Drosophila melanogaster: one gene and its partner. The gene in region 2 interacts genetically with the main gene of each other region. Each region holds a gene or a part of one and is shown on either strand. Other genes may lie near its edges.

Region 1 (6,074 bases), on a different chromosome or scaffold from region 2:
GAGCCAAAAGAGTTACTGTCCGATGAGCAGGTTGAGAATTTACTATTAAATCACTTGGTGGATGAGAATGGTGCCATTATAGTGGAGGAACTCAAATCGCCAACAACAACCACAAGCATGTACCACACACACCAACATCAACAGCAACAGCAACAACAACAACAGAATCAGCAGCAGAAGCAACAACAAAAGCAACACCACCAGGCACTAAACGTGGTTGGAGCCTTGCTGTTTTGAGCCGACAGCGAAATACCCTACACTTAGAAAAAAAAATCAACACCAAAACCGCCTCACCATCACACACACACACACACACACACATGAATGCGGTGATGGGAAAAGTCACTTTTAAATGAATAATTGCAATATAGTTCATAGATAATGATCGAAAGTGCCACAAGAAGTATTTAAAGTTTCAAAACTATGCACTATTTTTGAGCATTTTTGTAACGGAATTTTCGAAAGTACCTTTCTTCAATTTAGAAAACTCTTGTTTGGCCGCTGACACAACTTCCCCCATCACTGCACGCATACAAATATGAAAATTATGGCAAAATTTTACTCTATGAGTATTAGGGCATACTTACGATCGATCCAAAAAATCCAATTAGTCAAAAGCGTAGCGTACATATCATTCAAATACAAAAAGACATCAATCCCAGGTGGATCGAAATGGATGCGAGATGATGGATGAGCCAGCAGGAATCTTTTTAAATCCACACCAACGCACTCAGGCACGTGTGGCAAACTATGTTCTAATCCTAAATAAATGATGTGCAATAATTTAGTTTATGTAGTGGCATATACATAATTAAGAAAGTTACATTTTATGCTGTTTACAAAAAGCAAATAACTAAATGCTAGTCAACAAAAACGAAATCAGTTTAATAGTTTTAGTGTGTACGAGCTAAATATTCGGCAAAATGATTTACAAGAAACCCACAAAAATACATAAGAGTGTACAAATAATGGTAAATGTGGTGTGCACTGAAAGAAAACGAGGAGTGCGTTGACAATTCGCACCAAAAGCCGAATCAGCAATATTACTTTATGGAGACATTTGAAATACAAGCGACTTGCAAATTGTCCGCGAATTCTTCGGTTTTCTTCTGTTTGCGCCACTGAGTGTTAAATAATTGCATATATAAATACCTGCATAAAATTATATGAAGTGTATTATACAAAACTGAATGTTTCATTTCGAAAACTGGGCAGTTAGTGAATAAAATGGGGCTGCCATTTTTAATTGGTAACTATAAAGCTTTAGTTTCATTCTTTGTTATAATACGTAAAAAATCAACTTTAAAATTGACTAGTTTGTGTTATGTTATTAAATAATATAGCATTGCCTTTTAACGGTTTTCTATTTTAGAAATTTCATTTGACCACCATTCTTCAGCCTTTTGGTATTTTCTAGTTTAGTATTTCCTACCAAATAAAAAACTTATTCTATGATTATGCCCATTAATTTTTACTCAAATCCCATTTAAAATTTTTGATTAATTGGTGTATATTTTAACTTAATATTAAAAACTATATTCAAAATCAATAAGTAATCTATAATAACACAGTACCTAGAAAACCAGCTGATTGCTGATAATATGTAAGACATGGCGATAGACTTTTGAAAGCTTTTGCATTTCAACTTTTATTCGCCATACAAGTTGCATATAAGTGAACATGTACGCATTAAGATCAGGAACTTTAAAAACCACAACGTTCGATCTCCATCTATCAATTTGAAATTGGTATATATTGTAAATAACGCTGATAATAGGATTTAAAATCACACCAGCTGATATACGATATATCGATTGGGCTATCGCAAGCAGTGGCGCCCCATCTCTACGATAGTGCTTTCGCTGCACGCCGACGAACGCTTCGTGCAACTTCGTGCAGCTTCGTGCCACTCGGTTCGCAGTGGTTCGCTACGAACCGCCGACGGACGCTTTAGTTTGGCTGCAACGCTTTGCTGAGAACAGACCAAATCCGAAGCGAGCGGAGCCGAAGAGAAACCGAACAAACCAAACAAACCAAGCCAAACAATCCGAAGAAATCGCGTCGTGAGTTGTGTGGAAGGAAAAGCGGTTAAATAACGCGGCGATCTTAACTGTTGTTCTTCTTTTTTTTTTTCGGTGCTGGTGTATTTGCACATTCTACTTTTTTTTTCGTTCTATAAAGTGCCACTTTGTGTGTCTCGCTGGTCGTTTGTTTTCTTTTTGTCGTGGGAAATGCGCGCGCGCATTTAAGAAGTGGCAGGAAAACTCCAAACGCAGCTGGTAAAGATTCAAGTTTTCCAAAAAAAAAAAAAAAATAATAATAAAAGAAAACCAACAAGAAAAACCGAAAACCCAAAAAACAACAAAAAACACGAATGCATTGCCAGCAGATGATAAAGAAGGAGAGCAAGAAGAAGAGCGCACCGCGACGCCTTCTGCTGTTGTGGTTGTTGTTGCCGTTCTTGGCCGTGTTTGTTGTTGTCGTTGTTGCCGCTTTTATCTGCATTGTCTTGCGTCTTAACTCGTTTCGCTTTGGCCTTTTCGGCTCTCCTCTCTCCCCGTTTTCCACACTCCCCCACTCTTCTCATCATGCCAATGCGTGTGTGTGTGTGTGTGTGTGTGTGTGCCGTCCATGGATGCGCTTTGCCACTGGCTTTTCCCTCTCTTCTCCACGTTCCTCTGTCTCTTTGCCACACACACGCCTTTTTTCGGCTTACGGCGGCGGCAGCAGCGGCAACAACAACAACAACAAGCTGCCGCAAAAAATCGATAACGGTATTGGCAGCGGCGGCAGCACAAGAAAACGGCAACAACTTCCGCTTCCCCAAAAGTTGCAAAATGTCACCTGCCCCAAGGATTAGATAATCAAAAAGGGCACGCGAAGAGAGAGAGCAAAGAAAAGCAATAACCAAGGGAGAGAGAGAGAGAGAGAGTGTGTGGGAGTGGGCTTAGGCTTGGGCTTGCCACGCCCCCCGCCTTAAAGCGTGGCTGTCACAATTCTTGTTTTAATTAAGAGCCAAACATTCAATTACAACTCGCTTGCTCTCTCACTCGCTCCCTATCGCTGTCTCATTCGCACCCTCTTACTCTCCGCTCAGCCATCTATGCATCTTGGACCTACAACAACAATAATAACAACAACAACAACAAGAGATACAGAACAAGGAGGCAAAAAAGTAACAGAAGAAGAAGAAGCAGCAGCAGTCAACTTGCAACACAATCGTTGTTGCTTTTTGGGTAAGTGTTTTCCTTTGACGAAATTCAGTTTGAGATACTAAGATACTTTTGCATCTCTGAAGTACATATATACGTAGTTATGGATAAGATACACATGAAATCGGGAGAAGGTTGAAACGTTTTTATTCATTTTAATATTTAATACAAATTAGAATATGAGTAAAGTAAATATTATATTTTCTCAATACATGTATATAAAATTTAATATTTTATTGAAAAGAAAGAAAGAAAGAAAGAAAGCAAAAATAGAATGAAAAATATAATCGAAAATCCTATTTAAATAACATGAATATTATTATATATGTAGAACTGAAATTTTATCCAAAAAAGGAAAATAAAATTAATATTAGTACTAACTACTTATAGCGTTTTTCATAAACAATTATTATCTTTAAATTGTTGTTTAACTAGATTCCAGTTGGATATAACACAAATCCGTCAACTTTAACTGCTGATCGTTATTAGCTTACTTTTTATTGTTTCGATAAAAAGTAAGACTTTTAGTTTATGACCAATCATTTTTACGATGATCATACATTTATGGCTATTAATAACAACTACTTAACTGTGTATTTGACTAACTAATGACTTGACTAGATAATTGTAGCTTCTAAGCCAGTTTAAATGGCTTCTATTCATAGATTTTCACTAGGGATTTCGAATTATTTAGCTCATTTATTATCTGAATCATTAGGGCGATGGCTATAAATAATTGCAACCCTTTTAACAAATTGCCTTTAATATTATAGTTTTAAATTGTGTGTGCTGCAGCAGCTGACACATGTGTTTTCTTTTCGCCCCGCCGACTTTTCATATTTGTGTTTGTTGGAATATACTATTCAACCTACAAAAATAACGTTAAACAACACTACTTTATATTTGATATGAATGGCCACACCTTTTATGCCATAAAACATATTGTAAGAGAATACCACTCTTTTTATTCCTTCTTTCCTTCTTGTACGTTTTTTGCTGTGAGTAGGTCGTGGTGCTGGTGTTGCAGTTGAAATAACTTAAAATATAAATCATAAAACTCAAACATAAACTTGACTATTTATTTATTTATTAAGAAAGGAAATATAAATTATAAATTACAACAGGTTATGGGCCCAGTCCATGCCTAATAAACAATTAAATTGTGAATTAAAGATTGTGAAAATAAATTGTGAAATAGCATTTTTTTCACATTCTTGTGAAATAGCTTTTTTTTTCACATTCTTGTGAAATTATTTCCTTCTCAGAATTTGAGTGAAAAATGGACAAGGCTAAACGTAATATTAAGCCGTTTGATGGCGAGAAGTACGCGATTTGGAAATTTAGAATTAGGGCTCTTTTAGCCGAGCAAGATGTGCTTAAAGTAGTTGATGGTTTAATGCCTAACGAGGTAGATGACTCCTGGAAAAAGGCAGAGCGTTGTGCAAAAAGTACAATAATAGAGTACCTAAGCGACTCGTTTTTAAATTTCGCAACAAGCGACATTACGGCGCGTCAGATTCTTGAGAATTTGGACGCCGTTTATGAACGAAAAAGTTTGGCGTCGCAACTGGCGCTGCGAAAACGTTTGCTTTCTCTGAAGCTATCGAGTGAGATGTCACTATTAAGCCATTTTCATATTTTTGACGAACTTATAAGTGAATTGTTGGCAGCTGGTGCAAAAATAGAAGAGATGGATAAAATTTCTCATCTACTGATCACATTGCCTTCGTGTTACGATGGAATTATTACAGCGATAGAGACATTATCTGAAGAAAATTTGACATTGGCGTTTGTGAAAAATAGATTGCTGGATCAAGAAATTAAAATTAAAAATGACCACAACGATACAAGCAAGAAAGTTATGAACGCGATCGTGCACAACAATAATAACACTTATAAAAATAATTTGTTTAAAAATCGGGTAACTAAACCAAAGAAAATATTCAAGGGAAATTCAAAGTATAAAGTCAAGTGTCACCACTGTGGCAGAGAAGGCCACATTAAAAAAGATTGTTTCCATTATAAAAGAATATTAAATAATAAAAATAAAGAAAATGAAAAACAAGTTCAAACTGCAACATCACACGGCATTGCGTTTATGGTAAAAGAAGTGAATAATACTTCAGTGATGGACAACTGCGGGTTTGTCCTTGATTCTGGTGCTAGTGACCATCTTATAAATGATGAGTCGCTGTATACCGACAGTGTGGAGGTTGTGCCTCCACTTAAGATTGCAGTGGCCAAGCAAGGCGAATTTATTTATGCCACTAAGCGTGGTATTGTCCGACTACGGAATGACCATGAGATTACACTGGAGGATGTACTCTTTTGTAAGGAAGCTGCTGGTAATTTGATGTCCGTAAAGCGTCTCCAAGAGGCAGGAATGTCGATCGAATTTGACAAAAGCGGTGTAACCATTTCGAAAAATGGGTTAATGGTTGTCAAAAATTCAGGTATGTTAAACAATGTACCTGTGATCAATTTTCAAGCATATTCTATAAATGCTAAGCATAAAAATAATTTTCGTTTATGGCATGAGAGGTTTGGCCATATAAGCGATGGCAAATTATTAGAAATAAAACGAAAGAATATGTTTAGTGATCAAAGTCTTCTAAACAACTTAGAGTTATCATGTGAAATTTGTGAACCCTGTTTAAATGGTAAACAGGCAAGACTTCCTTTTAAACAATTGAAAGATAAGACCCATATTAAAAGACCACTTTTTGTAGTACACTCAGATGTCTGTGGGCCTATTACTCCAGTTACTTTAGATGATAAAAATTATTTTGTGATCTTTGTTGATCAGTTTACACATTATTGTGTAACTTATTTAATTAAATATAAATCTGATGTGTTTAGCAT
Region 2 (7,196 bases):
TGCTTTTTCAGGGAAAAAATTGAAATGCTAAAATTGAAATAAATAAATTCCCGATCGAAAAAAGATTAATCACTTATCAACCGTGCAATCGAATATAATTGCATTATTTGTTAAAGAACTTCAGATGATCAATTTCCATTAACCGAAAATGACTTAAATTATTTTCTGATTGGTTTATCGTTTTTCTGTTCAATTGACAATGCGCTGAATTAAAATAATAGGGGCTTAAAACATCATTTTGGCTAGCTTATACATTTTGAAATAAGGCAACAAAAAAGTGTGTGAGCTGTGGTATTTAATATAGTTTGGAATGTAGCTTTCATGTGGCCTGTTGGCTCTGTAATAGCTACTTAATTAACTAGATGTAGGCCAACTTTTGTGCGATGGCGAAGTAACTTTATTTGCTCGACGAGAGGGTCACAAAGCTCAAGGGATAACGGCCAGGACACAATTGATGAGCCGATAACAACGGTCTTCTGGATGTATCCCCTGGACGCCCATACCGCCACAAGTCAAAGTCCCACTCACTCAACATCAAAAACATTCGTAAAGGCGTGCCTTTGTTTGTACGATTTCCAGTCGAATGATTAGGCCAACACATCAGCAGCAGATATAGTCAGCTCATCGCCAATGCCCACATACTCAAACAATCGATACGGGGGAAAAAAAAATATTCAAAAAGGGATACGATTCGCTCTTCAAGGCTCTTCATTAAAGCGGCTCTGTGTGAATAAATGTGAATAAATTCTGCACAGAATTGAGCAGAAATTTTCTCATATATTTCGGTATTACATCGTATATCCGAAGAAAACAATATGAGCCGGAAAAATGAACTAAACCGCTTGAATAAAGCTGTCCATCAAAGTGGTTGCCAAACATCATTAAATGCTCGCAAGCCAGACTGACTTAACCTTTTTCGCCACGGCCATCCACTCAATCGTCCAAAAGGTTACCTGGACAACAGATTCGATTATCCTGTCCAGAACATAGTACTCAAAGACCAAGCAGTGTCTCTTTGTGGTTGCTTTCGGTGGTCCTTAATAAGATTCCCCTTCATGGCTTGACCAAAGAACATACACAAGAAATATATTTTAATGATTCACAATAGCTGCTAGATATACTCTTTCACACGATATAAAATAGACTAAAAAAAAGATGTAAAATTAATTACTTTAAGTGTTGCATTATTCTTCACTTAACTCACTTGTATTAGTGCTCAAAAGTATTCAACATAGAATGTTTAAAGCGAAAGTTCAAGGTATTCATTACATTTTTGAATGCTTTTAGACACCTTTAGAAATGATTGCGAAGTCCTGGTTATCTTTGAATGTCTGAGTTCTTTGTCAAGCTATCTAAAAATTTGTTTCAAATGCAGTCGCGCTGCTACTGCCACGAATCACAATTGCTTTTGTGCACGGAGTCAGTCCCCTTGAAATGCATTGCTCTTTTGCTGGCCAAGCACAAAAGTCATTGGCCGGGTGGAAAGCTGCACTGCAATCCAGCAGCACGAATAAGTCAATGCCTTGCGATATTTGAGAAGGATGAGGCGGATTCCACTCCTGCTCAGAAGCCATTTCCATTTGCCAAAGCCGTTGGCAGAATACAACTTTAGACATTGAGCTATAAGTATTTGTGCTTGCTTGCTGGCTTAATCAAGCATGAAATAGTCCAAACGTTGTGGTATATATATGCAAGCGAAGTATGATTAGGTTATTGACTCGCCAACTTGAAATATATATGAGAACAAGGGCACTGCTCTTACAACAAGCACTTAATTTGGGGATTAAAAAATCCTTCAGCAAAGGAAAATGGGTAAGTTTTAATCTGGGGATTACACGGCGTATGCGCAATTATATCAATGTAATTAATTAATGAGTGAAATCTGCAGGTAAAACAGCGATTTTCAATTGGAAAGCCACTGTTTGTAATGCAGTGAAATCACGTGAACAAAAGGGCGAACACCACATTCGCTTTTGATTTGTATTTACTTGCTTAATTTGCAATCAGCAATCCTCCGCCTTAATTAACGTTATTCAAAACGACTCCTCTGTGTTTAAGACCAGGTGAATTTCCAAAGCCAAAACATCTGGCAGCCAATTAGCCTAATCCAGTTAGCTTCTGGGCCAGAAATTTTGAAGCAATTATCGTGACAAGTGAACTAGACTCACACACACATGCACATGCCCATCCAGACACAAAAACAACATCCGACTGATTGATGCTTGTCACCTGTTTGTGAGTGTGTGTGTGTGTGTGTGTGTGAGGGGGTGAAAAAAGGGGAGTCTCATCCTGTGTCTGCTTCGTCTGCTCATAAATCACAAACGAATCAGCGAACGCTTCAAATGACTTCATTAAAAAGCGTAACACACGCACTCCGAGAAACGGGGAAAGGCGGACGAAGCAAAGGAACACTGAAAGAATATTCTACCAAAATGCATATATTATATACTAAAGGAATATGTTAAGTTAAAAACAAAAGCGTATACAGCGACAAAATCACTTGAAAATAGTAAAGTTTTCTGATAACAAATAGCAGATCTCCTTTGATTTTTAGTGTAATAGAATAAAAGCATCGTCAGCAGGCCCAGTCAAGTGTACATGGGGATAAGCAGGGAGCCAAAACCAAGTTGTGTGGGGACAAAATAGACCTACTCCCCCATTATCCATTATCCGCAGCCGCACAGCGCGTTCATCCCATGAGCCTCAGCTTCGATTCGCTATTAGCAAGGACTGAAATTCGATGAAATCCGGTCCTTTGTCTCCCAAAAACAGCAGCAGATGGAAAACTTTCCCAGGAGTACCGCCCCCGAAGGACTTGAACTTTTCCCTTGACATTTTCCACGCTTGTTAACAATTGTCGGCATTCCGTTTTTTAGATCGCATGAAAAGTTTTTGGAATACTATTCAAATGAAAGCTAAGCAGATCCTAATTATAACAAAATTGTTTCGATAGGTGCCAATGAAAATGAAAAGGCTAAATTGAAAACCGAGGCAATCTTAACTAAAAAACAAAAAAGGTCAACCCAAATCTGGAAATTGTTTCCGTTTTTTTTTTTTTTTAAGGAAAAACTCTCCTTGAGCCAACTACTTAGAACTTTAACTGGAAAACTTTTCTGGTTTTTACCAGTTTTTGTTTTGTTTTTCGTCCTTTGTTTTCCTTTATTATTCCTCTCATGTTCCACTTCCTTGCGTGCGCTTTGTTCTCTCCATATCCTGCCACTGATTTGCCGCTATTGTGTCATTGTCCAAAAATTTTATTATGACCCACAAAAGTAAACGGAAAAAAATAAGGAAAAACTTGGCTGGCTTGTGGTGTGAGTTATTGTCGCATAAAGGACATTTTTTCACTGGGGTTGGGGATTTTAACGGCAGGCTAATGATAATCGCTATGGTCAACGACCTGTAATCCCCGCAAATTAAGGTTTTCATTTTAGGAGCGCCAAATCCTATTAGGACATTTAATAGGAATCAATAAATAGAAACTATCATGTGGAAGCCAATTTAAAAGTTGCAAACTAACAAATTTCGCTTCACCAAAGTTGGATTTCGTAAACTTTTGATTACAACTTTTAATTGATTTGCAATAAATATGGGGCAGACAGTTAAAGTTTTGCACCCTAACTCAACTCTGGAATTTAGTACGGAATTTCGTTATTGTGTCACTTGATTGTATCTGACTTTTGGGTGAATTAGAATTAAATCACAACAATTTGCATGAACGGTCCACGCTTTTTAATCCAATATTTTCGCAGACATGATGAAAGTCAAGTATTTGAATGCAAATGACTCGCCTCCGTAAAGCAGGCAAGCATTTCACGTGTTTTTTGCCCCAACAATCCCGCGGCTGTTACTCACAAATTCAGTACGGTTTCTTCCGCTCGCTCCGCATACGATTTGCATTCGCTGGGTGCTTTCCTTTCTGTTATTCTTTTTTTTTATTAAAAATTATATAATTTTATTTTTAGCTAGGCAAACGGAACAGGCAGAGAGATAGACGCACACATACACACACGCGCGCACATAGATACGCGGCCCCTTTCTTTACTCCAAGCACATTTTTAGTACCGTTAGGGATCCCACTTTGAGTCCTAATTTATTTTTTTTTTTCGTTCTGCTTAAATTTGTTCCTAGGCAGCGAGCACGACCAAAAGCTTCGAGCGTTGAAACGCGACTGAGACTTTAGTAACAGCGGGACAAGCGGCTCAACTGAACGATGGAGAAAGTGGGATAGAGAGAGAGAGAGAGAGGAAGAGAGAGAGTGGGTGGAGCGGCACCACCAAAATGAACGTGCTAGGAAGATAGGCGTTGAATGGGTGGTGATGGTGGGTACGCAAAGCACGAGGACGCGCGAATTTGTGTCGAAAAGGCGGGCGAAGAAGCAGCTGACACATATTTCGCTTTGTTTTGGTTGTGTCCCCAAACCGGCAATTGCTCTCACACGCATGCGTACTTTCTGCGTTCTCTCGCTTTCCGTTCGACTAAAACTAGCCACAAAAGACGGCCAAAACTAGCTGGTCAGTGTTTTCGTAGCTCTGATTGTGAAACTCTCACGGAATTCCCATACACTTGTTCCTGGGCGTTCATTCTATCGATTATCCTTTCGGTCCGTGTTCCGGTGAACGCTTTGTTTACGAATTTCAGTGCCACAAGGCATCAATGAAGAAGTGAGTGCGGGAGTCAGTGTATTAGTGAGTGAATGAATTCGCGAGAGCAATTGGCACACACACACAAACACACATAGGTTACACCCACTCGGGCATTCCTTATTTAGGTTGAATGACACTGCGCCTAAGTGCCCCTTCCTGCACCTCCCCCGCCTTTATTGCATTTCCCGTTTTATGGCACATGTTTTCCACGTTGTCCTCAATTCCAAACGGGATGCTCCCGCTGCATGCGTGTGTGTGCCTGTGCTTTTCACGTCATCGTTTTCTAATGCACATGCAGGCCAGAAAGAGAGAGAGACAGGCATGAGGGCGCATAACTGTAAATGAGCAAATTTACCGCTTTTAGTTGTGCCCTATCTTTTTGTTCGGCTGTTCGGTCGTTTTGCTGGCCAGTGTGAAATTGTTTCCAAATTGCCGCCCGAAAGTATGCAATTACGAATCAGATAAGAACCGCTTGGGTGCGATAGACAATCGAAACGATTGCTATCTTTATCGAATGTCGCACACAATTATTTTGTTTACCACACACACACACATTTGCCCAAGTAAATACGAAAATAATGCGCTGTGTGAAAAGTGTAAATATTAGCAACTAAGAACTGTCAACAAAACGCTGACCATTATTTTGAATAATTCAGTTAGTGCCGCAGCGCTTTGCGCTCGAGCGGTATTAAAACCGCGCTTCGGAAACTTTGATCCCACCATTCGGCGGCTAAAACTCGGAGCGGCAAAAACAACAAGGCCGGTTTCGCTACAATATAGATACGGGAAGAAGAAGAGCGCCTCGGAATGAGCAGCGAAACGGAGGAGAAAAGATCGAAGGTACGGATGCAGATTTAGAATGCAAAGTGCACTTAGAAAAATATAATGCAGATGTCAGTGAATTCATAAAATCGTTGCAAGTAAAAAACCATTCAGCCATTATTACTATGATAAATACAGATTGATATACCTATTTTTTCAATGTGTAAAAAAAGATAAGATGTGGGCTTGCACTCATAATGCTGCTGCTCTAATTAATTGATATATATCGACTTGGTCAAATTCAGAATTATGAATTATGAATCCAAGCGGAAGTTATGTAGGCATTTCTCGCAGTCCACTGTTAATGAAAATCCAGCCCCCCACAACCCCCTGTACCCTGAGTAGCCATAAACATATTTCGAACTATTGTATACGGTTCGTACGACGAACCGATAGATAAGAAACATTGTATCGTGGGCGAGAGAATAAAAAAGTTATTTGTCTCTGTGAGGGAATTTGAGACCGGTACGTTAGGATAATCAATGCAGTGGAACGTTCAGTAGAGCGTTGGACGCCGACGCGATCGGTTCATTGGGAGATCTTGACCAAAATACCGGGCATCGTTATCCGGAAACATGAGTGGCAGTGAGAAGAATGTACGGCGTCGCGTCATTACGCCGACCAACGATCCTACGAATGTGGATCCATTGCTACGACCCCGCGGTTCCCAGCAGTATGAGGTAAGCACCCACTTTGGGTCCTTGATTAGATTGCTCTTCAATTGGGTGTGGTATGTGCTAATCACCGCCGATCCAAACAGCCAAACAGCAACATGAGCATTACCCATGGTTGAGTTCCAAGGGAATCGACTTTTTTTTGGCGGCATGTACTTATCAGGGAAAAGCCGATAACTAACGAACAGTGGATACCCTTGAGATAGCAGCGCACCATTTCGCCCTAGTTGCACCCTCGGTTTATCTATCTGTCTGGCCTTAGTTTAGTGGAGCAGTTCCCAACACAAGAAGTTATACTATCCACCTGTGACCAATTCGATTTTCGGTGGCAACAGGTTTTGCAACTGGCGGGCTGACCAGCGATAAGATAACCGTTGATGGATTAAATCTAACTTTCGACTTGATACCTATAGTCGATTCCAATTTCGAAATTGACTCATGTCTGCGGCCAGACGTAGGTGTATCTAACTACGAAGTTTTGGGTAATATCCATTCGGTGTGAATAAAACCGTGCCGAAAATTAGATATCTTTAGGGGGCATTGGCAAGATTAAAAGATATACAATATGTATGTACATGCCTAGTTTTCGGAAGTCCCGTATAAGATAAGTGACCTAAAGCCAATACTGACATTGCAGGCATATTAAGTTGTTTGAATTTAATTGAATTAATCTTTATCCGCTTCATTTCAGGCTCAGCCCAATGGCTGTGAGCGAGCATTCGTCCAGGGAAACAAGATTAAGTGGTTCTGGGCACCCGCCTTCTTTGGATTCTGGCTGCTGCTCTATGTGACCATCTCGATACCCGCCTGCCACCGCCTTCCCCGCCCACTGACCATTCAGGATGAGGAAACGCATCCCGACCAGTTCATCGCCGAGCGCGCAGAGAAAAATCTACGGGAGCTAGTGAGCCTGGGACCCCGAGTGGTGGGCAGTCGACAGAATGAGATGGCCGCTTTGAAGATGCTCTCCCAGAAGATGCAAAAAATTCGATCCGGCACTGCCAACGATATTGAAGTGGATGTTCAGGTGGCATCCGGTAGCTATGTTCACTGG

Evidence for each region. A genetic interaction does not mean that the proteins touch.
Region 1: of Rgk1 (region 2) and rut, changing one enhances a phenotype caused by changing the other (phenotypic enhancement), as found in Drosophila melanogaster (one study listed by BioGRID).

Annotation. Positions count from the first base shown.
Region 1 is NC_004354.4:14,821,951-14,828,024, reverse strand, and holds the start of rut (rutabaga), read left to right. Parts: upstream 1-1,951; 5' UTR 1,952-2,063; intron 2,064-2,119; exon of another isoform or gene 2,120-2,279; intron 2,280-3,097; 5' UTR 3,098-3,236; intron 3,237-6,074. Other genes in the region: CG14408 (uncharacterized protein), read left to right, coding at 1-237. UniProt on the Drosophila melanogaster protein: This is a membrane-bound, calmodulin-sensitive adenylyl cyclase. Inactivation of this cyclase leads to a learning and memory defect.
Region 2 is NT_033778.4:19,352,353-19,359,548, forward strand, and holds the start of Rgk1 (Rad, Gem/Kir family member 1), read right to left. Parts: upstream 4,174-7,196; 5' UTR 3,856-4,173; intron 1-3,855. Other genes in the region: CG11961 (uncharacterized protein), read left to right, coding at 6,044-6,148, 6,834-7,196.